Linked DNA regions of Medicago truncatula. The protein of the gene in region 2 binds, or shares a complex with, the protein of the main gene of each other region. Links are inferred from orthologs where the notes say so. Each region holds a gene or a part of one and is shown on either strand. Other genes may lie near its edges.

Region 1 (7,131 bases), on a different chromosome or scaffold from region 2:
TTTGAAACATATTAGTGCTCAGTTAGCTAAAACATTCACACTCACTTTAGCTGTAACCTCAGGGTGAAGTTTTAACTCTGCAATATATTCTCCTGTCTCCCTGATCTCAGGAAGTTCAACAATTCTCTTGTCCACCTCCCTAGAAATGAATCATAGAAAATCATGAACAATTAATCAGACTACAAAACACATGTGAACTGAGACTAACTGAACTAGAAATGTAAATCGTCAAAGAGATATAGTTTGAAGAATTTCGAAAGTCTCTTCCAAATTTCTTCTAGCTTTTCAAAAATTGCATACACTGAATACATCCAAATGAATCTACAGAATCATGGAAGGATATTTTGCACCTATAATTCCTTTGTGGTATTGTGTTAACTATGGTTAGTAAATTGAGATTCCAGTCGTGAATCAAATGATCTATTTTCCTAATCATGAATCAAATCTTATTATAAATGTAAGATACACTACCGATAAAAGTATGATATTTTTATGTAAAAATAAGTCACAGCAAAATTTCAAGTTGACATATCATATACGAACCTCAATATAATTCAAGATTCAAGCCATACATCAAACGACAAAAGACAACGGCCAGCTATACAAAGTTGACAAAAAATGCCTAGCTACACTAATTTTAGGTAGTAATTCATTACAATGAATTGAGATTCATTATAGTGAAACAAAATTCATTATTATGAATTAGGAGATAAGATGGAATTCGTGTACGAAGTTGATACACACTAGGGATTCATATCGGGTGGGTTCAGTCTTACTCGAAACAAGATACGACTCACATCTAACGCAAGATACTGATGACTATGGTGCTATCAATCGATAAGGATAAGCAGGAAAGAGTAAAATAACATTGTAGTTATTACTGAAATGCACATTGAATATTAACAGACTAAACATTATGACAATTCCATTCAAACTAAAAGGAATTTCTCTAAAGGATATCAGGTATTGGTAGAACCTATTAATATTATAGTGATTTGGTTAACCTCCGTTGATAAATTATATCGAAAACTCAATCGAAAAGAATCTTTCATTATTGTGGTAAAAATCAACATGAACCTTTCTACAAAATTGGAAGGCTCCAAAGCCAGACAACAAAATAACAACAAACTGCATTAAGCATATAGCTAGTTGGAACAAAATACCATACTGAAATGTGTTTTGTTGTCCCAATTATTAGAAAAGTATAAACAGGAATGTTACAACTTATAGGATAATACTAAATAATGTAAGATTTATAATGCTAACAAAGAAAATATTTATGTGCATCAGAAAGATGAATGGTACCTTTGAAGCTGTGCCTTGATAATGTCAACAAGATCTTGAGCCGTAACACTAAACAGAAACCAAAGATTAGGCACAATCATACATATATTGCACAAATTGAAACCTAGTAATTGGGTAGAACATACCTTCCGAAGATTTGTTTTCCTTTACCACCTTTACGCTTCACCTTGAAAGCCCCAACTGATTCCAAAATTTGAGCAAGTTGCAGTGCCTCTTCTTTTACCTATAGAAATGTAAAACTTAGATAGTCTGATATGTCTTCAAATACACCTAGGGGTAAAAACTTCACTAAAATATTTCAGAAGGAAGTTTGAAAGTCGTAAAATTTCCTAAACAGCAGATAATCAGATATTAAAAAGTGAATTCAAAATCAGGAGAATATCATTGTTATGAGCTTATAGCTTTACATGCAAGGTTGTTTAGAACTAGTAGCAGAACATATTAATATTCCTTTCCTCTTGAACTCTAACACTCTTAATCACTGATCAGCTTATCACAATTTTAACTAAACATTATCATAAGGAAAATTTTACCAAAGAAATGATAAGGGATCAACGAAAAATTACCCGTTGTTTCTCAGCCTCAATTCTTTCTTCCTCTATCTTCAATTCCCTGGAAAGAAAAAGTTAAAATGAAAAGGTCTAAAGACAATCAATGCAAGGGAATCACAATTCAAAATTGTGGCAAACATGTTTTTTTCAAAATGTAATTCTTAACAAAATGAAGCCTTGACAGAAACACGAATACCAAACACAACATTGACACTGACACGTCAACATCAGTACTAATCTGAGAGAATGGAATGATTGAATGTAAACCCATGTCTCAATGTCAGAGATCAACACGTGTCGGATACCAGACACACCATCAATCTGAAGTGTTGGTGCTACATAATCTTAATGTATCATTCTAATGTGAAACTCTTAAGAGACTTTGGTGTTTTGTTGACAAAGTTTATTTTTGATGATATTTCAATAACCTAAATACCCTTCGCTGCTGCTAGTAACCTATGTAGCATTGACACTTCAGATCAAAGGTGTATCCACTTGGTCAACGACACGACACTTTCACATGTTGAATTGGATTCTCTCCAAATTGTTGAATTCAAACACTTCTACTTTCTTAAACAATTACTAGTGCCTACATGTCAGTGTTGTGTCCGGTGTCTCTGCTTCTGGTAACTTATCCAAAGTAACCTACTACTAATGTAAATTAAAATTCTAAAATCTCAAGTAAGATTAGATGATATAAATAATTGAACATTACTTAAGCAAATCGGCAGTTGCAATCTGAGCTTTGCCACTAGGAAACAAATAATTTCTGAAAAATCCAGCCTTCACATCAAGAAGCTCTCCTTTCTTTCCAACATTAAGAATATCTTCCTTCAATATAATCTAATTTCACAAAATAACAATAAAAAAAACTCAATACAAATAACAAATACTGTCACAACTGAGAGATAAAAAAAAAAATGTTGGTGTAACTAACCTTTCGGGTTTTCTTTGCTTTCTTCTGAGCGAAAATTAAGAACCTTGAAGTTTTGTTGGAAAATTGAGAAGAAGTGTTCAAGTTAGAGGTGAAACTATGTTGCAATGGAAGTGAAGATAATGTTGATGATGATGCCATTGTTGTTTTGTTAACTCACCGCTCAATTTGTGTTCTGTGTTTTGGTCTCTTATCTCTTCTTCTTCAAACGAACATCGAAAAATAGTGGATATAACGTAAAAAACTTATTATTGTATTTTTTTTTTACAAAAATGTTAATTAATATTTTTTATTTTTTTAAAAAAGTTAGTTAATTTTTAATTGACAATTTCTGTGGAGACATACTGTGGAATGAGTTTAGAATTTGGATTCACGATTTTTCTAGATTTTATATAATATCGCATCTAATTTGTTTATTGAACTCACATTGATTTGAAAGAGAAAAAAATTCATTAGTTTAGGATATTTGTTATATATTATTGTAGAATCCGACTCCGAGTCAACGATATTTCTGATGACTGATGTTCAACATAATGATTTTCACCCTCATGCAAATTTAGTTTCTCTTGTTATGATGTTCATCCATCTTCCTTGGTTGGTTTCCTTGAATATGATACAAGATAAGACAACGAATGTGTTGATTGGTTGACCAAATTTGATGCAAAGAATGTCGACATCATGAAGTTGTGGAATTCCCCTTCGACATAGTTGAATCTCGTCTTACATTGCTGATGTCTATGAGATGTTTAGGCAACAAATTGTTTAGTTTTCCTCTTTTCTGGCTTTTCTTTCCGCCGGATTAAAAAAATAATTCATCATTGTTTATTGCATTGAGATTAAAGTACAAGAGTGTACATGTTTAGTTTCATTTTGGAGGAGTCAAAATTGATTTTAGGTGTGCAGAAATAATTATAAAGTATAATTGATTTTGCCTCTAGAATTGATCTTACTTAAAAGTTATAAATCGTAAGCTTCTAATTCTATAATTGATTTTTATGTTCAAATTTATTATTCAACTACATTTTATTTACATGAATGTATTCAAACATAAATTATTTTGCCTTCAACTCAACTTTTGCCATAATCAATTTTACATAATCAATTCACTCAAAATCAATTTTTTTTCACCACAAAATCAAACATACTCTAATTCTTAACCCACTAAATAGAATCAGTTAAATGAATAAATTGACATCATAATATTCTATCATATATCACATCTTTATCAAATTCATTAAACTCTATACCCTAGAATAAAATTATAAATAATTAATAGCATAGAGATATAGATAGAAATGAATTAAAAATAATTAAGAGCATTACAGTAAGATAAAAAAAAATAAAAAAAATAATTGTATCGAAGTAACAGTTTAAATGTTGTATCATAAATTATCAAATGTAGTTATAAAAGTGGGGTAATATACAAATCAATTGCAGTTAACACACATGGTTGAATTTGGCTTAGATCTTCGATTATATGAGTGGTTCTCTTTGATCTTATACGAAAGTGTGTCTCTTCTAATCTAATTTTATATATAAAAGAATGGTGAGTCCAACATTGCAAGTGAAAGAATTGATTGATTTATCATATAGTTAGTTTTTGAAGGAATTGAAATATAAAATTAAGCACTGGATTTGTAATTTGTGTATAAAAATAAAATTCAGATTTAATACGTCTTTCGTATTCTAAACATACAGAAAGATTGGTGTTAATCTTGTCATGTTTACGACCTTCGAAATAATCATCTACAATCTATGAAAAAAGAAGTTTCATATTGTGTATTTGTAGTCTAATGTCACATTGTTATACACATGTTAACATTAACATCAAGGTAGATCTAAACTCCGTTGATGAAAATATATACACATATTAACATACACGTGGTTATTTGTCCTCATCTCTAACATTTACAATTTGCAACTAGTAATAAAACCTTTGGAGTAATAACACGTTCAATCGATTTCAGCGTGCACATAATCGACGAAAACAAAATTGTTTTTCAGTTGGTTTATGGAAAAAGCTAAGGCTGCACTGACAAGCGCGAGTGCAGCCAAAATTATGCGCAGCTGAGTATCTGATGGAATCCCAGAAGTCGCGCAAAACACAACTGTTGCACCAGTCAGGATTTTCTGCCATGTTTGGAATCCCTCATAAGCTCCTTTACAAGCTGAACACTTCAGTGTGTGTTGTTCAAATCTATCCAACATCTACATGAAAAACAAACACAAAAGATCATCAAAGTTGTGTTTTATTCTCGGTTTTGTAGACAATGGAAAAGGGTTCATAATGAAATAACTTGATCAAATTGCTATACCTGACGTTTTGATAGTACGGTTGAAGGCAATGGCTGGCTGCTGCTCTTACCAAACCATTCAGGTTGGCCATTGCCGTGTCGCCTCAGCCAATTTCTAAATGCCAACACAAAACGATCGGCCTGTGTTGGTGTGAAGGTGAGGCTTGTGTACTGTTTGTTAATGTCACCGCCATTCTCTGTTTCTGCAAGAAAGATTTTCTCTTGACCTTGAAGTACAATCATGTCCCCGTCATATACCTTGTTTGAAGTCCAATGTTCATACCATCTGGGAACCACCTGAGACATGAACAAGAAAATCGTTAGGACTTGCTTGTTCCTGGAAATATATTTTATCCTAGATGTTGATGTTGGAGAAGTTCAAGAATTCCATTTTGTTTAAAAATCTTCGAAATAAAATGGTTTCATAGAAAGAAACTTAGCATTCTTCAAGGATAACAGCGAATAATTTTTGTCAAGGTTTGCTAAAACTATATCTTGATAGACATTCAAAAGAAGCGAATAAATCAGTGAAAGACCACAGAAATTAGCAGAGAATGGAACATTCTCGTGGTTTTATTGAAGAGAATAGAAACGAAAGCATTGAATATAGAAATCTTACTTGCCACCAGGCAGGCCCTGGCACCGTGAGCTGGAAGAAATTTCGGGCACTGCAAACGATGGAGCGAGTCTTACCAGGTGCCATGGGGACATTGAAGGAACATATCCATATTACCCATTTCTGGTCACCAACGACGGGGAGTTTGGTATCGATCTCAACCCTGAAAAAATAGTTCTTAATTTACTGAGCTTCAAAACCAACAAATGGAAAGAAAACAGCAGCAACCTAGCATAAAGTAATAGTCTTTTGAAATGCATCTTGAAATATAGCATACAAACAAGACACAGTTAGCCACATGATGCCGCAATCATCCAAATATCGAGGTAGATACCGTCCTTTTTCAATTAAAAATGAATACTATTCTTTTATGGTCATGAACAAGTACATAACTCATATTAAGTTACTCATCATTTATGATAGTGTCAAATAATGTACATGGGAAAATGAAACCAGAATTCATATGAAAAATACTTTCATGAAAAGGCCAGTGGCTTACTTGTTAATATAGTAACATGGTGCAATAAATTTGGAACTGATCCGTGGGTTCCCTTCATTAGCTCCTGAAAAGCCCCATGAACCACGTGAATCCATCTTGAATGGAAGAGGCTTGGCTCTGTCTCTCCTTCCTGTAACCTATGGCGTATATATCATATTTATGTTAGTGATATCGATAACCCTAAAAAAACAATATTAAATCATTTCAACTTTTGGAACTGCTTATATTGATAGCGTCTAAATAACACATATATGCAAAATGATTGACAAACATTGACAATCAATCTATAAGTTTAACAAATCCAAAAGGGAATTTGACTGTGCAGCATAAATCATTAAGACACAATACTATTGTGCAACAAACTTGCACACATCCATCTCCTATGCTGCCTCACCGTTTTTTTGCTTGCACTTCCTCTCCCACATCGATTAGTCTGGAATGCACGATGGTGTATTTAAGTTGTTTGTTTTTTTCCCCTTAATATCTAGCATTCAAACAGTGTCTTAGAAAGGGCTCCAAATGGAGGTGCTGACCGGAAAGACTGAGTAAAGCATCGTAGAAAGCAGCCGCCGGGAAATCGGCTCTCATCATGGGATGCTTCACGGTGGAGTTTCTTCCTTCTTGATATCTAGCTTTTAAGAGAGGGTTCCCCAAGTGCTTGGGTATTTATTAACTTCACTTTTGGTTTACTAAAAAGGTGCGAGAGGGGGAGCCTTGGCACAACGGTAAAGTTGTTGTCATGTGACTGAAAATGTTACATGTTCAAGTCATGGAAACATCGTCTTTTCTAAAAAAGAAGGTAAGGCTGCGTACAATACACCAAAATGGTGGGACCCCTTCCCGAACCCTGCGTATGCGGGAGCTTTAGTGCACAAGGCTGCCCTTTTTTTCTTTTCTAAAAAGGTGCAATCGAAAGTGATTATTGGAAGAAA
Region 2 (7,949 bases):
TTTGCTCATTTTCAAACTGACCGACTCTTTTCTTCACTCATCTATAGTTTCTTCCAAATCCATCTCCTCCAATAGTGACCTGTTCAAGGGTAGCTTCAATCTTGCCGTCCTTTAAAAAAAAACTTTTAAATATTCTATCTGGTAGCAGATGCAACAACCTGACCTGTATGTCAAATTGATCCTTGTACTCATGCACAAGCCCTCTTGCTTCATACACAACAAAATACCAAATGGGTTGCAAATCATGGATGGCTGGAAACACCTAATAATATTATGACACATCACCCAAGTCGGGTTTTGGAGCATTGAAACAAAAACAAAGCTTGTCCTTCCATGGCTACACAGATGACTTATAGTCTTTCTCCTTCCAACACCTATTTCATATGAAAATACCTCCCAAACTTGTTGATCCAACACAGATGTATCTTCCCCAACTGAAATTACTTCCTGACCATCCATGACATCCATGTGTGCCTTTATTCTTATTCCCGCCACGTAATCTTCAATGATATACCCCCAACTCCTTGATGGAGCCTTGATACCAATAGACAGAAATTGATATTTTAATTAAATGTACATTTAGGGAAAAATTCCTTGTATGGAGAACTACAGAACTTCAAAGGTATGCAATCTTCCCTACTTCCTATATCCAAGGACCTCCGACTAAACTAAAATGACAAGATATCTCTCCCTTTCAAGTCTCAGCCCTCTTCTTATTTATAGACTACGTGCCTTATTTCTCTTGTTGAAAATATGTTTAGGATCTTTGTGATTATTATAGATTAACTGTAGGCATAAATAAGAATAAAATTGATCGTATTTATATTGTAATTATTTGTTTGAGTCTTACAAAATGGACTCCATCATGTAGTTGAGAAACACGGTTTCAACATCTCTAATATCCCGACATCCATTAGCAAACTTTTAACTCTTTCAACCAACGGACCTATATTCCAACTTTACAGTTTCAAATTCAAACCACAAACACAGCCACCAAAATATTACGTTTGAACTTACATATGTATCATAAACAAACAACATATGTCTGAGCTCAACCAAAATTCTCTGATTAAAGGCATTATATGAAAATTTTAAAGAAAGTAACTTTATTCACGATAGACAAGGGACCTCATATGAGAATTCTTTCTTGATATATGGGGCACTAGGAAAATTAACCATCCTCATTTGTTTTTAAAAGTGAAACATCATAATACCTCTAGACATCATGAAAACAATCACAGAAAAGAACATGTAAGACAACAACTAAAGGAAAAAATTAGATAGCCATAAACCAACAAGTATTTTGTACCTTCAATAGAAGTTTCCGTTCCCTTCCTGATGGGTTAATCACACGTTTCTCCGTCAGTGTCTCCAGAGACACCTCTTCCCCTTCTTGAAATCCAGCATTTTCTATGTCTTTCAGATTGATGTGGACATATTTCGGCAATCCAGCATGCATACCTTATTATGGTTTTTTTATATAAATAAAAGAAAAGAAGGAACATTAAAACATGATTCCAAGCGAGATTTATGCGTATACTAAATAAATTAAGAGAGATCCTACGACAAAGAATGAAAGAAAAGCCTTTGATAAAATAATTGCTTTTGAAATGAAATCATGGAAGGATATAAAAGAATAAGGGGAAAAAATATACAATAAGTAAAGATGTCAAGCATAATAAGAACTGAGGAAGCGAAATTTAGGTATTGGAAGCTTGGTATAATCCATAATGCCATGATTCTCTTTAGACAATAATTACCATTTCAAGATGTCAATAAAGGGAATCGACTATAATTTCTTTGAAAATCAACATATTAGGGATATATACAACATCATATCCGGACCCTGTAATAGGCATACTTCATGACTTTCAAATGTGATGCAGGCACGCAACAAGTATACGTAATCAATCTGCAACCAGGAATCACAATTCTCATCTAACCATTGTTTTTTCTTACTAATGATGTTGCTACAAGTAGCATCTTTCTTGATCACTCCCTAACAGTAGGATCCTAAATTATCCTAATATAATTCAACAAAATCCATATAAACTCCATGTGAAGCATTATGATGCTACAGATAATTCAACAAAACATGGTAAAAAAAGGGCAACCTATTAGTGTGCCAATTATATTCAATCTTGTATTTCTAAGATACTGCTAAAATTTCATGAATATCCGACTTTCAACTCAAACAATTGCATCTCTAACAATTGCACAAAAGCTCCCATTTGGTAGTATATAGACTAAAAATTAACTAATTAACAAAATGTACAATACACAAGTTTGGACATCATTTAAAACTAAGAATATAATTCGTACTGTCAATCAATCATAACCGCGATAATTAAATACGTTATTTTCAAAATCCATAAACAACAAATTTAGCCAACAAAGCAAAAGGTAAATTCCCAAGTGTTGTGTAAGAAGGGATACCTCCTGCAATTCCTCTAAGTTTGGGCAATCGTCGATAAAGCGGCATCTGACCACCTTCAAAACCTCTCATGATACCGGGTCCAGATCGAGATTTTTGACCTCTCATTCCAAAACCACAACTCGCTCCTTGTCCAGCCGCTATACCTCTTCCCTTTCTCTTTGCTCTCTTTCTTGAACCCGGTTGTGGACCCAAATTGTCCAACCGAAACCGAACATTCTCACCGGCTGGTTGTACGGAAGCAGAAACAGACTTATTAATGACAGAAACACGGTGTTTTGTTCGCTGAATTTTGAGACATGGACATAGATATGGTTTTGCTACCAATGTTTTCACATTTCCCTACAAATATAAATTCAATGGTGAAATTGTGAATTGCGGGAGAAAATGAAATGAAAATGGAAATAGAAATAGAAATACCTTGAATGGAGAAGCGAGAGAGGGTAACCAGGAAACAGGAATAAGAGAAGCAGCAGCACTCATGTCTCTCTACTATGTCTATCCGTTCTTCACTCTATCTATCAAAATGGAACAGACGGATAATATTGTTGATACGATAAACCCCCCTAAACAATAGAATAACGGTCTAGATAAGACTACAACACTTTATTATATTTTTCCTCAAAAAAATTATCACTTTATTATTTTTTATAGAGGGTTTTATTATTGGCAAATTTTATGGTATACCCAACATTTTGAGTGTATCAGTACACCAAAACATTAAATCAATAATTAAATTAGTTGTTTTTTTGAAGAAAAAAGATTTATTTTCTATCATTGACAATTATAATAATTAAATCTTATTTACCAAAAGCGTCGATGAAATAAAATTTACTCTTTTGAATTTTTATTGCCATAACGAAAAATATTGCTTATTTTTTATGAGGAAATGTTAGAAATTTAATATAATTCTTATAAACAATGAAATTATGTTTTTTTCTCATGAGATGGTGTTTTCTAAAATATAAATATTGACAAATAGCTACTTATTTCATAAAATGATTGTTAATTTATAAATTTATATAGCAGGAGTATCGGTACACCTCAATTTATGAGGTGTACCGTAGAAGTTCCCTTTTTATTCGGGTATTAATATGAACTTTAAAACTAAGTTAAAGGACCAAACAACTTTTTTTTAATGTTAAACTATTTTACATATTTATATTTCAAGATGAGATTTGTTTGGATATGAAACTACTAGGGGATAGATTCTATAAATAGATAACACATGGGAAATACATTGGAGAGTGAAAATATTTGTGAGTCTCTTGTTTATAAAAAGAAATTGAGAAATTTGCATAAATTATGTTGTTCTTAGAGAATTTGTTGAAGCTAATTTCTTGTAACCTCTTTTATACCTCTTTCCAATAACCATATACCCAATTCTTAGTGTGTTTGTTATCTTGTTGTCCTTACTTTGTTTGTGGATATGTTTTGCTTAGATATAAGATATGTTGTTGTTTCCTGAGGTTGTTTTAGATTTAGTTTCTGATGTCTTTTGCTCCACATATTTAAGTTTATTTACTTGATTTGATTTACAAAGTTACGATAAAAGGTTTCCATCGTGGGAAATTTTTCAAGTCAGCACCTCGATACTAAATTTGACATCTTCGTGATGGAAGAAAGCTTGATTCCACATGTGTGTTTTGAAGCATTGAAGGGTGGGGGTGGTGTCAGTCAACCTAACATGATTAGAGAAGACCGAGATGATGGGTTAGACAAGATATATCGTTATCTGGTGCCTCTGAGATAAGTTGTTGAGAGAGGGAGTCATGAAGTTGAAGATCATGACGATGATGTGTTTTTCCATAGGCCTAGTGAATTTCAATAGATGTTAAACACTTGTGGGTCTGAATTTGATGTGAAGAATACTCAAGATCATCATGGAGAGACAAAAGTAAGAATACTCAATTTTTTCACAAGATGATAAGGTAATAGGTAGAGATACTTAAGTGTATGTTTATACAAGTTAGATAATTATATTGTAATAGGTAGAGATACTTAAGTGTATGTTTATACAAGTTAGATAATTATATTATTTTTGATCATGTATTAGTAGCTAGATAAGACTCACATCGTCCGACTAAGTTATGTGATTTTGGGTTGGTGCATAGTGACGTAGACGTAATACGTTGATATACAATACAACATATGATGTGTAAAATATAAGCCCAGATAGATTGTGAATTTTATAATCCAAAAAACATTAAAAATGCTTCAAATTATGATTCAAATGGGGATAAAATAGACGAAACCGAGGACGGGCGCGAGAAGGGTGGATGGTGGGAAAATAAATTCTTTACATTCATCCCCAAACAAATTGAATTCTTTTCACTTTAGTCTCGGCACTATGTTATTGTTTCTAAGATGGGTCTAGAGTTTATTTTTAATTTTGTAACCTATATGAAGCATGAATTTTTTAGGGGATGTAGCATTACTAATTCTTAAGTATTAAAAGAGTAAAATACATAATTGAAAGTCCTTAACTCTGGTTCATGTGTTAAACAAATGATTGCACTTCACATTGGCCCATTCAATTGTGAAAGCTAAAATCAAATAGGAAAACCCATGTGTGAAAGCTAAAATAAAATAAAATAAGTACACTAAAAAATATTGGAACATCATGAATCATAATTTGAAACGGAAGGAACCAATTGTTGGTCTAGAGTTGATATCAGGAGTTTTATTTCTTCGAAATTACTAGTAATTTAGTTAAATTTGATTGTGTGGTCTATTTGAAGGTTCCCAAATGGATCTATTTTCTTTGAAAAGATAGTAATTGTTCAGCAACTTACTCCATCCGTTTCAAAATATAAGCAAAATTCATTTTTTAGGTTCATTCATTTAATGATGTATGTGGTTATTAAATGAATGAACTAAAAAATAAATTTTGCTTATATTTTGAAACGGAGGGAGTATGTAAAAAATAAGTGGAAGTGGTTTTCAGGTAAGGTAAGACTTCACGGAAAACTTGTTATTATGTACTCCCTTCATCCTAAATTGTATGTCACTTTAGAAAATATATTTATCCCAAATTGTATGTCGCTTTACAATACCAATGAAAAATTAATGTTATTTTTCCTATTATATCCTTAATTATTTATTACTCTATCTTCTTTCAATTCCTTCATTTATCTTTCCCATATCATTTATTGAGGACAATTTTGTAAAACAACTCATAATATATTTTTCCCACACAATATTAATTACATTTCTTAATATGTGTAAAATGTCCAAAACGTCATACAATTTGGGACGGAGGGAGTATTTGACCCCACAGAGGTTTGTGGTGTTGACCAGGACGGATCGGTTGTGCATATAGTTTGGTTGATTACGTGGTACGTGGTTTCCTTGTGACGGTGGTACGTGGTTTCCTTGTTGGTGGTATGTTTTTCAGGTTCTATGATTTTTTTTAATAAACAAACTAGCATTAAAGGATGTACAAGGCTACTCCAAACCCTTACAAGGAAGAATGTCACATGTTAAGCATTACATTACAACTAACTAATACTCCCTCCATTTTTTAACATAAGCAAATTTTGACTTTTAGATTCATTCAATCAATGATGTATGTGGTCTAAAAGACCACATACATCATTGATTGAATGAATCTAAAAGTTAAAATTTACTTATATTAAAAAACGGAGGAAGTACAACTCTGTGAGACCATCTTAATGTGATCCATTATCTCTAAATAATGTCATCCTACACTATGCTTGTTGTGGTTCTGGTTGTTTTACCATTCCCTTACACTTTATCTTTTATCGCTTTGTTTTATGATTTGATGTACTCCTTCTTAAACTCTTTGTACTCCTTGGGTTTTATTATATAACATAGTTACCTTTGGGAGGTGATCTTTGGCTAGGAAGAAAGGGGGTCTGTGTTTGTATTATGTATGGTTTTCGAACTGATAAGGTTTCTAGATATGCGTTAAGAAGAAATTTGATTGATAGTAGAGGCATGATTGATTGTTTGAATATTCTATGTATGAGAGTATACCGGAAACACTCAGCTGGAGTATTCGACTTTTGTTGTGATATTACCTTAATTGTGCAAGCATAGTGTGACACTGACATGATGAGCATATCAAGAAACTAGAATATTCTAATTTTGGTTTGACTAGAGAGAGTGAGAGGTAGATTTTTGGATTTTTAGTTAGAAAAGAAGTATGAAACCACAAAAGTTAGAAAATGGTACAAAAAGCAAGAAATATTAGAAAAATAGAAATGGGATGCAAAAGGAAGTGACACAAACTTTCAGTTCATATCCAACAGCTTGTTTGTTGTTGTACCGAACCAACATATAAAAGACATTCCACAGCTAGAATCCAAAGTAGCTGAGGTTGTGAATGAGCTCAAAAGCTGCAGCACCTAGTTACTGTTGTTGCTATCTCTTCTTTCTTACTCATGATGAGTCATAACCCTAGCTATCTGTCAGCACCTTAATTAATTATGAATCATCTATCTCTCTCTCTCTCTCTCTCTCTCTGGATATACATACATACATTACAGATAGCTAGCGTGTCTTTATGATAACAAAATATCACTCCATTACATACCATCTTGAAATCGATTGATCGTTGAAGGATGATGATCTGGAAAACCTTGTCCAACCGGTGCACCTATGCACGTGTAACTTGACTCACCTCCACCTGCCACATATTGCTGCCCATTGTTACTCATCATATGACTCACATGACGGTAATCGTGAGGAACCAAATGTGGAGGGAAAGACATAGGCCTTGATGGTGAAGAGTACAGATATTGTTGAACTTGAGATGTTGAGGATGATGAACCTGCAGCAGAGAAGGATGTTGGGAAACTCAATGGCATTGTTGGGTGATGATGATGATCTCCTATGTTACCTGCTGGATGATACCCTGCTGTTGCTATTGGTGGATAACATCTGAATATCAATTTCACAAATTCTATCAAATCAAACACTGTATATTTTGTATATATGCATGCTATTGCTAACTGTATTATTCTAATGGAAAAACAACAAGTCTTTCAAAAAAACATGTGAGGAAAAGAAGTTTATAATTTGGAAATAGGATTCCACCCCGTTATGCATTCACAACATTGGTGGCCGTGTGATGTCCTAGTAAAATCAGATTTAATTTTAATTTTATAACTATGATAGTAATATCAAGTTTAAATTAGGATCATCCAACCTCAATTGAACAACCACTCACATGAGATTGCGGAAGTGCTTTGACTACAACACACCCAAGTTCGTTAATTTGATGGTACAAAATATAAAAATGAGTAGTTTAGCCGGTTTGAACTAAGAGTTCAAAAATATTTGGAGGGTTCATATTCAAATCATGATAAAAGTGAAAAATACTAACCTAACAAAGTTTTAGAAGCACTTGTCCTCGACTTCTTTAGACACAATTAGCGTCACATTAATAAAACAATTTTTTTTTAAATGACTGTTAATACAGTTTTTAAATATTAAAAAAATCATTTGTACTTTCTAATAAATACTATGTAATATATTTCCAAATTATTAT
Region 3 (7,739 bases), on a different chromosome or scaffold from region 2:
ACGAAAATAGTAGCACCGTTATTCATTATGTGACGGAGGGCATCGAAATAGAAAGGTTGACGTCGAAAGGTTTGGAGCCGACAACAAGGTGAATGGATGGGTCTTAAGAAGGTCGAACAACCCACCACCACTATTCAACCCACTAGATTCAAGCTTGGTAGTGGAAAGGAAGGGAACACCGGTGAAGACAAAGTCTACTTTCAGGCATCCCTTTCAAACCAAAAGGTGTACTCTCTAAGGGATCCCTTTCAAACCAAAAACGTGTGCTCTCAGGCATGCATAGACTGTAAGATTTCCTTTCATTCTTCACTTCTATATTCTTCCATCAGTTATGGAAACGAATCTAGTACGTGTGATATGTTTTTGTCATAAAAATTAAACACATAGTTTAGATTTATATTCAACTTCTCTATGCATCAATGATCCATCTTAACATGTCTACTGTACAAGTCTCTTGGAAAAACATTGAACTTTATTGAACTTACCCTCCCTTTTGGAAGCATGCCACGAACAGCATGTTCAATAATTCTTTCAGGAATTCTGTTCTGCAGCTGGTCAAATGTCTCGACTGTCATACCACCAGGTCGACCTGAGTGCCGCCGATAAAGCTTCTGGGTCCTCTTTTTCCCACTGACAGCAACCTTTTCTGCATTTATCTACACAACCCCAGTTAAAATAATAGGCCAAGACTACATAAAGCAATCGTGAAACAGAACATTATTGACAATACTCCTTGCATAAAACTTCATGAGAAGGGTGAGCCTCATAAACATAGTCATTAATGTGAAAAGCAAGTTTTATAAACAATACAACCATTTTATAGGAGATTTTGTTTCCTCTATTGATATTGTAGTTTTATTTTTGTGGAAAATTGGAATCTGTCGTCAAATCATTAGTCATACATGCCTATAATTAAAATTTAAAACCAAATGCATGATAAATAAACTTCCTTACAATCTATAGAATGTAGAAAGCGGAGAAGTCATTAACAATAGATATACATAACAAAAAGAACATGTCTTGCAGCTTCCCATTATGATCGAAAAAACATGACAAACATTCAGACATAACAAGATTAATAGCAGCTTCATCAAGACTTTTCAGGACATGCATTAAAGCAATACATTAACTACAGACTATGTTGCGTGAGAATCAATATACAAAAATGTGAAATGTGATCCAAATTTCTTTGTCAATGTGACATTATTATAGCAAAGGGTTAAATGTGTGTTAGCAAACCACTCGTTAAGAGTACAGTATTTAGGAAGAGGAAGAGCGGTAAGTAGATATTAGAATTACAAGGACTCTTCAATAACAGTAACTCTCCAAAAGGATAATAGAGGAGTAGCTATAAAAACAGGGAAGGGAGTTAACAACTGTAGAACAGAAGGTATATTACAAGGAAAAAGACTGAAATAATTAGAGAAATAAGGCTTTTTTTTTCCAACTGTAGTTATAAATAAGAAGACGGGTCAAGTGGCTGAGATATCCTGACATTTGAAATTTTGAATAAGTGCTGAGGCCTTTGGGTATAAGGAGACGCATTCCCTTGATGTATGTTTTACAGTGCTCGAACTTCCCAAATAGGGCTTATCTCCATCTTTTTTCCAAATAAAATACCAGTTTTTATCAGAATGATGATAACAATTTGAAGGGAAATGACACTGAGCCTCTACGCCATTTCATGGTGACTTAACACAAAAAGTTAAGGCTAAAATGCAAGAAACTCCATTAACCTATGATTCAACTTGACTCCTTCTACTTAGAAAACAGTCCATCATATATTGCATAAGTTCCATCCATTTTAAAACCAAAAGAAAATTAACAAGAAAGATGTTCAACTAAAACTTGACTTATATAACAAATAAGCTTATTCCGTAGAAGTAGTAAACCATAAAAATCAGCACTTCCATGCCAATTGCAAATAATGAATGCAGAAATACGTACCACAATTACAAATGAACCCATGTCCACACTGGGTGTATAAGTCACTAAATTTTTCCCTCGGATGTGATTAGCAATTGTTGATGCTAGTCTTCCAAGAATTTTATCTGTAGCATCAACAATATACCACGTTTTCTCTGTATTGACATGATCCGAAGCTTTTGGATACCAGGTTGTGTTCCAAATGTCCTGCAATCATTACTCTTTTCAGTTAAGCCGCTTCAAATACATTAATTCGAAAAAAGCATCTACCAAGTTAAAAGCTTTAAAAATAATACAAGACATGGATACCGACGTAAAGATTTAAAGCAATTCCAACTTTCAATCATGCCAAAAAATTGGATGAAGTAATAACCTATACATTTCCAAGCTAATTAAACTAATGAGATACGAAATGTAGGCATAATTGAAGTAAATTAAGATGGATTTACATGTTAATTTACTTCAATTACGAGAAATGAATACTGCTAAAGTGCTAATTACAAACCAGAAAGAAGATAATAAGGCTTAATTACCATAAAATGATGGATTGAGACAAACACTAAAATTTGACAATAAAAATTGAGGCTTTTCTATTCCATATGCTAGATTACAGAGACCCAGAAATTAATACAAGAAAATTTTAACAAAATCATACACAACAACACTTAGTGTGTAAAATGAACAAAACCCATTAACAAAAAAGAGAGAGAGAGAAGTTATACCGGGCCTTGAAAGCGGGGCTCAGGTTCAACACAGATGAAACGAGGATCTTCTTCTTCTGCGACAATGGAAGTTTCCTGCTGAGAATGGACAATGAAAGATGGAGAACGAATTGAAGAAGATGATAATGAAAGGTTTGAAAGTGGTAATTGAGAAGAAAGAAAGGAAGATTTAGAAGTTGAATTCTTGTGATGAGAGAATGAAGAAGATGAAGGGAACGTCACTGATGGTGAACCACACAGCAAGGACATTGTTGCTGTTGATGAATGATGATAAATTCTCTCACGATGCTTTGTGTTGTGTTCTGTGCTCTATCTTTACTGGGGATAATGTAGAGCCAGCCAGAGAGTGTGCGATAGATAAGCCTATATTATAAATGTATCAAAATTTTAAAATAGTGTATAATTGTACGATTTGTTAGTCAAATAAGTCTCTTACGTTAAAATAGTCTATCAAATATGACATTAATTCTTTTTATGTATGGATTGATATGATAGTATATAAATATTTGTAAAATTAATATAACGATAAGTAAGGGTGTGTTTGGCTCTATTTTTTTGAGGTCTAAAAGCTACTTTAATAATAAAGTTGAAAATTAAAACTTTTAAGTTAAAGTTAAATTTGTTTGGCATTTGTTATTTGTCCAACTTAATTAGTAAAACTTTTTAGGGTTGTTTAATAGAGACCTCTCAAAAATAGTCTTAAGATGGACATTTACAATTCATAGTTGTTTTAAAAAAATTATAGTAAAGCATAAATTTTATAATACTAAAAAACTGAAAATATTAGACAAACTTTTTTTTTAGGCTTAATTAGATTTTTGGTCTCTTAAGTAATTATCAATTTTCATTTTGATCCCATAATTCGTAAAATCAACATTTCGGTTTTATTGCTTTTCTTGCTTTTGTTCAGTTTTTCTTATTTTTCTTGCTTTTCTTCAGTTTTTCTTGTTTTTCTTCAGTTTTTCTAGCTTTTCTTGTTGTTTAATCTTTGCTTGTGAACTCAAAAATATCATAAAAAAGACTCTAAAAATAGTGAATGGCCGACTGTCATCAGTTTCTATGTGGTTTTCTTCTTTACAAATTGTGTTTGGCCCTACTTCTCCTTAAAATTGGAAGATAAGTAGAAAATAAGGAGGGACAAATATGACAATATTAATTAGATACTAGTGTATTTATCTGCATTCCCAAGTTAGACATATAGTTAAGGATTACCAAACTTTGGTATGCATGATATTGATGATTCAATAAATTATCGTTTTTAATATATTATTTGAGTCTATTTTATTTAAATTTTATTTGTTTTTATTTTCTTTTTTAGAACTATTTTACTTCAATTGCAAGTTATTTAATTTCATGAACGAATATTCTAAAGATTGAGTCTTAGAGCAAAAGAAAGAAGATTCGGAGCTGATTCGGACTAAAAATATGAAGATTTGGTGCAAAAATAAAAAGCCCCCAATTCAGAAGCTTAGCACGGCCCGTGTCACCAGCCACACAGTCGTGCCAGCACCCAGAGTCACCTTTTGCTTCTTTTGGCTTCCCGGACAAGCTGCCTATTAGTTTATTTTTGACCTAAAGCTTGTCATTTCTTGTGCAACACTTTAGTGATTTATTTCTTAGGGCTTAAGTCATTGTTAGACTATAAATAGAGCAGACATCAAGCTTGTATAATCATCTTTAGTTCTTGGAAATAATAAGTGACAATTGTTTCTTTAAATAAAAATTCATCTTTATTTTCTTTATTTTATTTTATGGTCTTCTTCTTCTTCTTCTCTATGTCGACAATGAACGTGAGTGAGTAGACTTCTTGTCTTGGGATTGTTGGATGAATCTAATGACCTAATCCTAATCAAACTAAGCATTGAACCCTAATTTTATGTAAAACTACTTTCTAATCTAATTTCACCATTTTTATAATGAATTAACAAGTATCAAACTCATAATGCGACAACGAAGGGTTGGTACTTGTTAATTCATCATCACAAATATCAAAGCGAAACATCGTAATAAGAAGTTATGATATTGTAACAAGTGAAATTAGACAAGGATTGTGAAACATGAGAATGGTCTAGCAAACCTTGAGACAAAAAAGTTTTCTTCTTCAAGGATTCCAATAGCAATCAATCATGAGAATAGACGTGGTTGCAAGAGGAACACACTTACTGAAATCGAGAGGAGATGTGATAGGCTAAAGAGAAACTTGTCTTTAGAAAGTAGGTCCAACATAAAATTCTAGGTTTAGCGTTTGATTTGTGAAGGATTTTTCGCCATGACGAACCAATAATCCCGAGGCACTTTTTATTAATATTATTTTCAACCGTTAAAAATCCAAACTTTTTAATCTCAAACTTTCTTCTAATCATTGTTAAAAGTTAATTGAATTCATAACTCCCTATCAGAACGATACTCTTTTTACTACTTCAGTAAAACGGTGCACTTGCGGATTTTACACATCAAATATCCGCAAGTAAAATTCATCACGGACAGGTGATGACAGATCATCTTACGTTATAATTAGCATGTTTTTCAGTCTATTTTAATAGGTTTTACCAGCAAACCAGAGGAGTATTAAAACAATTGTCTATGATTTCGGGACATTTGTAATATTTTTTATATTTGAGTCTGTAATTTGATTCTTCCTAAAACATAGCAATTTTATAGGGTTCTTGAAGTAATTCACGAAGAAATCAAGCAAACCAGGCAAATCAAGACCTCTAAAGATTATTGGGTCTTGAGAAGATGAAGAATGAAGATTCAATAGGCCTCAAAAGATTTTGCAACGGGAGGAATTATGTACCCAATGTCCAAGATGTAACACCCCAATTTTTCTATATATTATATTATCATATATCCATGTGTTTTTATATATAGTTTCATCTTGTAATTACTAGTTATTATCTATTTATTTATTTTGATTGTTTTTGTGTGGATGCGCTAATAATTATCATGACATTTAGTAATACGAATTGTATACATAGTGATATCCTAATTATTTAGCAATATTATGATGATTTTTCCTATGTGTATTTGTTATGATGTGATAGTCATACATATTTATTTTGTTTATGGAGTAATATAAAATGTTGATATTTTATTATTTTAAGCATTTTGAAAGGTCATAGTAATTTAGTATGAGTGTTTTAGAGATCAAGATTTTAGTTATAGGAGAGTGGAACAAGTTATTGATATTTTTAGAATCGGAATTGATAGATAGATTAATTTAAAACTGACTACTTTATACACCTCCCTTTATTTGCTGCATTCTGATACTTGATTGGGCTAATCTGTCTTCCTTCTTTGGGACCATTCACAGCCCAGTATGTGAAAACACATTAATTTCACTTAACTGGATTTCTATCCACACACCAATTTCAGTCTGAATGTCTATTTGCACCCCTTGCTATTAAATGAAGAAATAAAAATAGAACGGGTCTTCTCTTCCAAATGGTTGCAGAATGGAAACTCTTTTACAAACCCTTGCCCCCTCTCTCTTTCCTCGATTTCTCTTTCCTCAAGCCACAATACTCTTTTACAAAACTTTGGCTTCCAACTTGAAATCATCCACTGATTCGAGGCTCGCTGCGACGGTTGTAGCCTTTGAGAGATGAATAAATTAATGTGCAAATATGGAAGTAAGGTTAAAAGAGGAATTAGAAATTTTATTAAGGTGTTGCTTGACTTACTTTATGTCGGAATGTGTACTCATTGATGTTATTGTTGAATAGGTATTGTTGAGTAGGTATTGTGATCATAATTGGCTAATTGCTATTTTTTTTTATTGCGAAATTCTTGTTCTTGAATAGACATGAGTTGTACGTATCTAGTGATGTATATATGATGTGATGCATGTGTTTTGTGATGAGTAAAAAATTTGTATATGAGAATATGTGATGAAGATTGATGTGGTTAATTTAAATCTGTATATGAGAAAATGTGATGAAGATTAATGTGGTTAATTTAAGAGGAATGAATACCCTTGTCAGATTCGGATTGTTGTGGATAATTTGAGCTTATAGAATGTTCTTGATTTCCCTTATCAGATTCAGATTGATGTGATTAACTTGAGATGAATGAATATTTTGATTACCCTTATCGATTACCCTTAAACCATGAATTAGTATTGATTTTGTGTTGTGTTTGCTCTTATGTGTATCATAGGCCAACGAGGGGAGATTATATGTAAGGGGTAAGCGAGTGTTTCACTCATGAGTGTAATATATTGTGAAATGAATGATAATATTGTAATTCTCAACTATTCATATAGTGCTTACCACATATAGTTTAGCCATTTGAGATATAATTGATTAAGATCACATCAATATGATCCAGAACCTGAAGGCTGCCATGAATTAAATGCTGTTAAGATTGTTTAATATTTGATCCTTGTGAAACTATGATTTAAAGGTTAATTATGGTGTGGTAGATGTGTGAGTGCACATTTGTATTAACTAGTATGAAATTATGTTTATTAAAAGTACTACGTGTTAAATCTCTTAAGGCGTTACTGATAGAATTTGACTAGTTATTATGATTATATATGTTTGAACTATTGAGACTTGATTGAGAATGACTGAATATGGATTTTTATCGAATAGTGTGAAGTATGCACTGTGAATTGTGATTATTAAATGAATATGGATTGAATGGTAAGGTATAGGACCTAGTGGAGTGTTTGGTCATCATGTAGGTAGGGTCTGACAAACCTAATATGATTGGGGAAGTACTGATTAATGAGACATATTGTCTCGGGGTTGAGGAGGGGGTCTATGAGGGCAGGGCCAACTTTGAATAGTCCGTAAGGACTCGGCCAATCTTGAATAGTCCGTAGTGACTCGGCCAACCTTTAATAGTCTGTAATGACTCACCCATTTTTGAATTGTCCATCCACCATGTGGTGGCATAGCACTATCGACCTCCTAACCAAGTACTTCGGAGTAGAATGACACCAAAGAAAGAGATGTCTAGAGTCTAGGAGCATGCATGTTATTGTTTGAATTGTGACTGTTATATCATGAATGATATTGATTACCTCATGAGATTATGTTCTTGACTTTTTTGATTGTTATATTTGACTATCTTAATTGAGACTAT
Region 4 (6,975 bases), on a different chromosome or scaffold from region 2:
AGTATTTGAGAGAGGTGGCGTTATGTGTAAAAAAGTGGTAAAAGTAAAGTGTACCTTAAGGGTGATGCTGAGTTTGATTGTAAGATGTTCATGTTTTTTATGTGTCGAAATTTTCCGGTTGGAGGGTTGTTTGTGGTTGATTCCTTCTCCAGGCCTTAATGATGTTCCTTCATGGCCCCTTAGAGCATCCACAATCGAGACAACAATTTTTTGGTTCTTAAATGGATCCCGCGTGTACACATCACTCATTTATAATTTTTTAATAGTAGTATCTAATAAGCATTCAATCCCTCCAACCCAGATCTCACACAAATTTCTTAAATGAGACATATTAATCAACTACCAATAACTTTATATCATTAATTACATTTCAATTTTTTAATATTAAAAGAGTGTGAGTCCCGCTTAAGATTGGAGGTCTTAAGTAAGACCTCGGGTCTTATAAAACAAAGAAAAAGTTTTTCCCCAATAAAAATACATAATAGATACCGGATCTTAAATGTTTAAAACCCTCCTATTAAAAATGGTCTTAGTCTAACTTTTTTTAGGATTGGGTTTTTGATGCTGGTCCAGGTATAATATTATTCCTTTTTTTCTTCTTCCAAGTATATCATGGCCCCTCGGTCAAACTTCTTTATGATGAGTTAAAACAAAGTATATGTCAAGTTTGATATCACTTAATTTTATCATTTGCTTTTATTTTTCCTCTATATCATTCTGTATCAGTTAAATAACGTATTTATTTATTTTTAAAAATAAACAGGTAAGATTTTAAACGTCAATTATTTTGGTCCATACAAGCGGAAAGACGAGCATGTTGGTGTCAATCATTACACTAGTGGCAAGGATATTTGAAAATGGAAAAATTAATATTACAAATTTTACATTCCTTCATTAAAAAATAATAATAATATGCATGAATTACATTTTATTTAAAATGTTGACAAATAGATAAAATAATATTTAAAACAACTATTAATTATTAAAATATTACTTATTTTGTAAGTAGGACCAAATAGTACATATTTAATTACTTCTTTTAAACTCGTTAGTTGCTTAGGAGATAAAATCCTTACTTCAATGAGAAGCCTTAACAGGGAGTGATCCTTGTTAAGTAAAGACCTCCCATTAGAGATGCTCTAAGAGCATCAATATCGATCGTAGTATATGTATATATGAACAGAGCGTGTCCGGAAAAACACCACTAATTGAGTTTTTTGGGTGGTAAATAGTTGATCCCGTAGCACTGCATTGATACGGTAGCTTTGTCTGATCTTAATGTTCTTTTATAATAAAAAGTGCTTATGATGTTACTTTTTTGAATTAAAATGATTTAAGAAATATAATATAAAATATATTGTAAGATGAGTGAGACCTATTTTAAAATTTTGGAAGAGTGGTATGGATATTTAGAAGATATAGTTTAGTGGTTTAAATAATTGGGAAGTGTGAAATAATATATTGTATTACGTGAGACCCATTTATACCACTCATATGGGTGGTATGGATGTGGATGCTCTAAGTGACTCAGTTGACTTTGTCACACACACCAATGTACAATTTTGATCTTAAATAACTTTACTAATCTATTAGAAAAAATTATAAAATTTGATATTTTGAAAATATTCATCTAGACGAATCTAACAATATCTTATATGATATTATTTATTTTTATATATCAGTAGAAAAATACAGTCAAAGTATGTTAGATCAATAATATAAATTTTTAAATAAATCATCTATTATAGGATGGAGGGAGTATTTATCAGAAAACCTTTTGTGTGACCATACACATTATGCTAAAACTTTCTCGTAGTGAAACATACAAAGAAAATTGAAGTATAAAACTAACGCATTTCGGTAATCAGAAGCAGAGAACAAAACACATCTGTGTTTATTGTCATTCCAAACTAGGCTGATCAAAGTTAGTCCCTCTGAATTTGTAATTTGGAAAACTTTGTAACAATTTCAAAACTAAAATATCAAACTTTCCCTACAACCAAATTACTTTAAAACAGCAACACTAACATTTGTGATGCCAAGAAAACAATGATATAATAAATCAGTCTAATACTCCCAATCATCATTAGCATATATATGTATCTTCAAAATTGTCCACATACTCCATCCGATCACATTTATAAGTAAAATGCAGCTTTTTAGATACATTGAATAATTAATGTATCTGACATATAGCCTCGTGGTATTGACTTGGAACCTGAAAGTGTGCTCCTTCTTGATGTCTCAAGTTCAATTCTCTCCGATACCAATTTGGATGAGCTAATTTAACTTCTTCAAAATAAAAAATAAAAATGTATTTGATATACAAATGTGACTATATATATATATATATTAATTATTTAATTTATCTAAAAAAGTGTTTTTTCGTATAAATATGACCACCATCATCATAATATAAAAAGTGCTTTGGAGGTCGTAAATCTTTAATTTGCTCGTGACACCTTTGTTCTAAATTTTGACTCAAAGAAGCACACACGTGCAAATCAAGAAATTCAAGAAGAGGGCAACCATCAAGAATGGCAAGGAACCCAACACTGACGAGAAAAATTCCTAACAATTTAAAACGGTGTAGCCCAGACATTGTTTTAGCATTAACAAATATCACATCATAATATTTATTTATATTGAAAAATGATATTTGAATGGTCATTTTGTGATAATAGGTGTGACAATTTTTTCTCTTATACCTACATTGTATTTTTTATTTTTCTCTTTATTGTTTTGGTTCTTCTACCAATATCTACATTTCTTTATATATTTTGATTGTTTCAAATGATTGTTCAAATAATATTTCTCATTTATACTTTGACGCAAGGGTAAATCAACCTACAAAGAATTAATGATTTCAAACAAATGCAACATTGGCCAATGACTTCAACAGAATCCTTGGATACATTGTTCCTAGATGTAATGTTAAGCTCCTTCACAAATTCACTCAATCCTTTATCTGAAATTCTTATGTAGAAATTGTCTTAATTGACTTGTCCTGTAAAATATTAAGAGTAAGATGCTGATAATATATGATTCATTTGAGTTATGGGACGAATAATATTAAATTAAACTATAATTTAGAGTGTGTAGTGTATAACCATCATTAAACTATAATTTAGAGTGTTGATATGATACAAACAAGGATATGAGCTGCAATGAAATGAAATGAGATTAGAAATTGAGTCCAATAAATTAGGGAGGTCTAAAATGATCATACTACACTTAGGAAGTGGAATAAATTTGTTGCCATTTAGTGGTGACTCATTAGTTTTAGAAGATTGATGACTCACTAGTTTATTGGAAAAAATCTAAAACAATATTACTTATAATATAGAGTAGTGATATTTGTACACCTTTTCTAAATAACTTTCATGACAACTTTGTTTTTTTCTATTTTGATTGATCAAAATCAATAGAGAGAGAAAAAGGCAGAGAGATAACAAGAATGTAATGTGAGTATGAGAGAGAAAGTTGTTCAAAAGTTATTAGAAATTGGTTGTACAAATATCATTTCTCTATAATATATTATCTCTATTTTATAATCATCGATGAAATTATAATATTTTCTCCATCTATTATTCTTAAAAGGTTCTCATTCTATGTTCTATATCAGAGGAATTATCTTTTACATATCATTTGGTGCTCTTAACAATGATACAATCAATATTGTCATTTTATATAATAAAAAATTAAGTCATAAGTGTTTTTTGAAGTAAAATTAAGTTAATAGACGAATTTTATATATTTACCAAAAATATAATAGAAAGAAATTGCAAACTTTGTTTACTTTTTTAATATAATTTTCAAGGATAGTAGATTTGATATAGTATAGTTAAAAAACAATTCATGAGTTTTATTTAATTATAAATTATAAAGTTGATCCATCAAATAAAAAATAGTAGTAAGCAAAAACAAAACAAAAATCCTTACCCACACCACACCACACCAATCAATTTTGAAGAGATAGGATAGAAAAGAAGCAAAACTCTCAAATTTTTCTCTCTGAACCAAAAAAAAATAAAAAAATGGCTTCACTCTCTTCAACACTAACACCAACTTCAACTTCTCTTTCTTTCTTCTCTTCTTCAATCTTCATTTCTAATTCAATTCCCAAATTGAAATTCACTCCAAATTCAAACTCAATTTCACATACTAATTCACTTTCCATTTCTTGCAAACTCGCCACCCTTCCACTCCTCTCCTTCTCCGGCGAGAAAATCGGTGAATCAACTCTCGACGTCAAATCCGCCTCTCCTTCCACCTCTCGCGCCGTCGTCCACCGCGCCATCATCCACGACCTTCAAAACAAACGCCGCGGCACAGCCTCCACCTTAACACGCGCCGAAGTCAGAGGTGGTGGCCGAAAACCCTACAACCAAAAGAAAACCGGCCGAGCACGTCAGGGTTCGATTCGTACACCTCTCCGACCCGGCGGTGGTGTGATTTTCGGCCCGAAACCAAGGGATTGGACTATTAAGATTAACAAGAAGGAGAAGAGGCTTGCGATTTCCACTGCGGTAGCGAGTGCGGCGGTGAATACAGTTGTGGTGGAGGAATTTGGAGATGAGTTTGAGGGGAATGCGAAGACGAAGGAGTTTATTGCGGCGATGAAAAGGTGGGGATTGGATCCGACGGAGAAAGTTACGTTTTTTATGATGGAGGTGAAGGAGAAAGTGTTGTTGGCTAGTAGGAATATTGGGACTTTGAAGATTTTGACGCCGAGGACTTTGAATTTGTATGATGTTTTGAATGCTGATAAGATTGTTCTTACTCCTGATGCTGTGGATTATTTGAATGGTAGGTATGGTGATAGTGAACAAGATGATGATGGTGATTATGTCGAAGAGGATAGCCAAGAAGGTAAATCATTAGTATTATAATAGTATTAATGATGATTAGTGATAACATTGTTAATCGTTATATCTTGAATTATTCATCCTTGTTTTTCGAATAGTATAGTACATTAGTACTAGTTCAATATTGATGTTGCCTTCCGTAAGAAGCGTCGGTGCTAGCGTGCTATAGTCATAGACCTAGATTTTAAATTGAAGTTGCGGTTATGGTCGTGTGCAATTGTTGATATGTTGACAACTGTGGTCAATTTTAGATGGTACTATTGTGGCCGTGGGGACATACAATTACAAATTCGGATGTTGTGATCACAAATGTGGGTGGGATAAGGGTTTTAAATAGTGTTTACAGTAGAGATCCTTGATATTGCGGCCTGTGTGGCTTCAATTGCAGTTGCATTGCGTTTTTGACAACATCAAAGACCGTTATGGTTATGTAGCCCCCCAAATCTCAGTCGCAGACCTTTATTTAAAACTATAGTTGCAGATCTTTTAAAATCTTGGGCATTGCGTTTTAGATAGGAGTTAGTTTGGATAAACTTTTATTGAACATGGAGAATGAAATATTAAAAGAATTTGACAATGATTGTGTTTTTTTAAAAAATAGTTTCTCGAATAAGTTGAAATATGTTTCCATTTCTCATGATCATCCAATTGATCATGCAATTTTGTAAAAAACTTATTCCTTAAGCATTATAGTAGCTTGTAAATTTTTTTGTGAAATGAGAGAAAATTAACTTATTTGAATTGAAATGTTTCCTTTAGGTAGAAATCATTTCAAATTTGGTTTAAGTTGCTGATATTTGAAAATGTTTCATTGAGGTAGAAATCAATTCAAATTTGGTTTAAGTTGCTAAATGGATTCTCAAGTTAACATTCTGAAATATGAAGGATGTTACTACTGATGTAATTGTTTATTTTTTACATATATGTTAAGGCTCTGAACTTGTTTTAATTTGAAGATTATAAGTAGTTCACTTATTTGGAGTCATTAACCATGGTCATAAGATTAAAGTTCAACACTGTTGTTTGTTCAACTTGTTGTATCTGCATTGTGTAGTCTTATTTGTCATTGGCTTTAGCTTTAACTTTGGAGCTGGTATCTTTAAAAAATTATATTCTTGAGACTATTGAAAAGAAATGAAGTTAGTGCACTGACAGAGTAGAGTCACCTAAATCTCACTGACTCATTTTGATAGTTGTTTAGTATTGTGCATGTGTGTGTGTATGGACATTCATGTTGGTGGTTGGGTTAAACTTAAACTGCACATTCCCTCTGTAACTTTTGAGTTGCTTATTATTGTGGAAGAGTTTAAGATGGGTCTGAGTAATATAATAGGTTTCTGACTTGATTGCTTTCTTCTATTTGGATACAGGACCAGACGCAGAAGAAAGTGCCGATGCGGTGAATTGATGATTTAAAGTTGTTTGCACGGTTGTATCGTATCATTTTATAGAGGATATTGCTCATACAGGGTATAGAAGGTTTGAAGTCTTGTTTGTACCAATGTATTTGCTTTTTTTCCATTCCATCACTTAGAATCCAAATTCAAGTAGCATGTAAGGATATTTCTTTATCTCATTTACAATCACATTTTGTTGTAACCTAGTAATTTTTTGAATCAATTTTGTTGCTTTGTAGTCTCTTTTGTGCAGATGCATGTAAATGGATAAGTCAATTGTTTTGAATCAATGTTGTTGCATGTAGTTTCTTTCTTCTGAAGAAGTTGTATCTGGTTACTTCTTTTCTTGTACTGCTTCTACTTAATGGATAGACAAAAATCTAGAACATGTGATGCTTACATATTCTTAAATGTGCTATTCCTAAACCCTAAAAAGAAGTTTGTTGAACTCTCATGCCTGTTTTGAATGACTTTCCTGCCATATACCTCATAAAGTCTTCCCATTCAACCATGTTTTACACTTTGAAAAGGAAACCATTTGTAAGTTAGAAGAAGAAAAACAAAGAGCAAATGAAGTCAAGAAACATATTTCCCAGTCAAACATCAACTCCTAATTTAGTTAAAACAAAATTAATAGCTTATTTTCCTCTCACCGTTGGTGTCATATTGCTTCATTGGTGATTCTTCCTTCCATATTATTATTATTATTA

The links.
Region 1: 50S ribosomal protein L15, chloroplastic (region 2) and 50S ribosomal protein L9, chloroplastic share a complex: the UniProt entries of both Arabidopsis thaliana proteins name them as parts of the 50S ribosomal subunit. The link is inferred for Medicago truncatula from reciprocal best matches to the Arabidopsis thaliana genes RPL15 and RPL9.
Region 3: 50S ribosomal protein L15, chloroplastic (region 2) and 50S ribosomal protein L13, chloroplastic share a complex: the UniProt entries of both Arabidopsis thaliana proteins name them as parts of the 50S ribosomal subunit. The link is inferred for Medicago truncatula from reciprocal best matches to the Arabidopsis thaliana genes RPL15 and emb1473.
Region 4: 50S ribosomal protein L15, chloroplastic (region 2) and 50S ribosomal protein L4, chloroplastic share a complex: the UniProt entries of both Arabidopsis thaliana proteins name them as parts of the 50S ribosomal subunit. The link is inferred for Medicago truncatula from reciprocal best matches to the Arabidopsis thaliana genes RPL15 and RPL4.

Annotation. Positions count from the first base shown.
Region 1 is NC_053045.1:29,004,033-29,011,163, reverse strand, and holds the start of 50S ribosomal protein L9, chloroplastic, read right to left. Parts: upstream 3,014-7,131; 5' UTR 2,932-3,013; coding exon 2,794-2,931; intron 2,700-2,793; coding exon 2,572-2,699; intron 1,918-2,571; coding exon 1,872-1,917; intron 1,529-1,871; coding exon 1,431-1,528; intron 1,354-1,430; coding exon 1,306-1,353; intron 140-1,305; coding exon 19-139; 3' UTR 1-18. Other genes in the region: pheophorbide a oxygenase, chloroplastic, read right to left, coding at 4,744-4,998, 5,106-5,381, 5,704-5,863, 6,200-6,336. UniProt on the Arabidopsis thaliana protein: Binds to the 23S rRNA.
Region 2 is NC_053042.1:53,667,959-53,675,907, reverse strand, and holds the start of 50S ribosomal protein L15, chloroplastic, read right to left. Parts: upstream 3,016-7,949; 5' UTR 2,918-3,015; coding exon 2,855-2,917; intron 2,777-2,854; coding exon 2,437-2,776; intron 1,462-2,436; coding exon 1,310-1,461; intron 1-1,309.
Region 3 is NC_053049.1:23,131,027-23,138,765, reverse strand, and holds the start of 50S ribosomal protein L13, chloroplastic, read right to left. Parts: upstream 3,009-7,739; 5' UTR 2,898-3,008; coding exon 2,649-2,897; intron 2,134-2,648; coding exon 1,948-2,133; intron 657-1,947; coding exon 486-656; intron 1-485.
Region 4 is NC_053049.1:1,016,662-1,023,636, forward strand, and holds 50S ribosomal protein L4, chloroplastic, read left to right. Parts: upstream 1-3,959; 5' UTR 3,960-4,037; coding exon 4,038-4,872; intron 4,873-6,238; coding exon 6,239-6,276; 3' UTR 6,277-6,585; downstream 6,586-6,975. UniProt on the Arabidopsis thaliana protein: This protein binds directly and specifically to 23S rRNA. May play a role in plastid transcriptional regulation.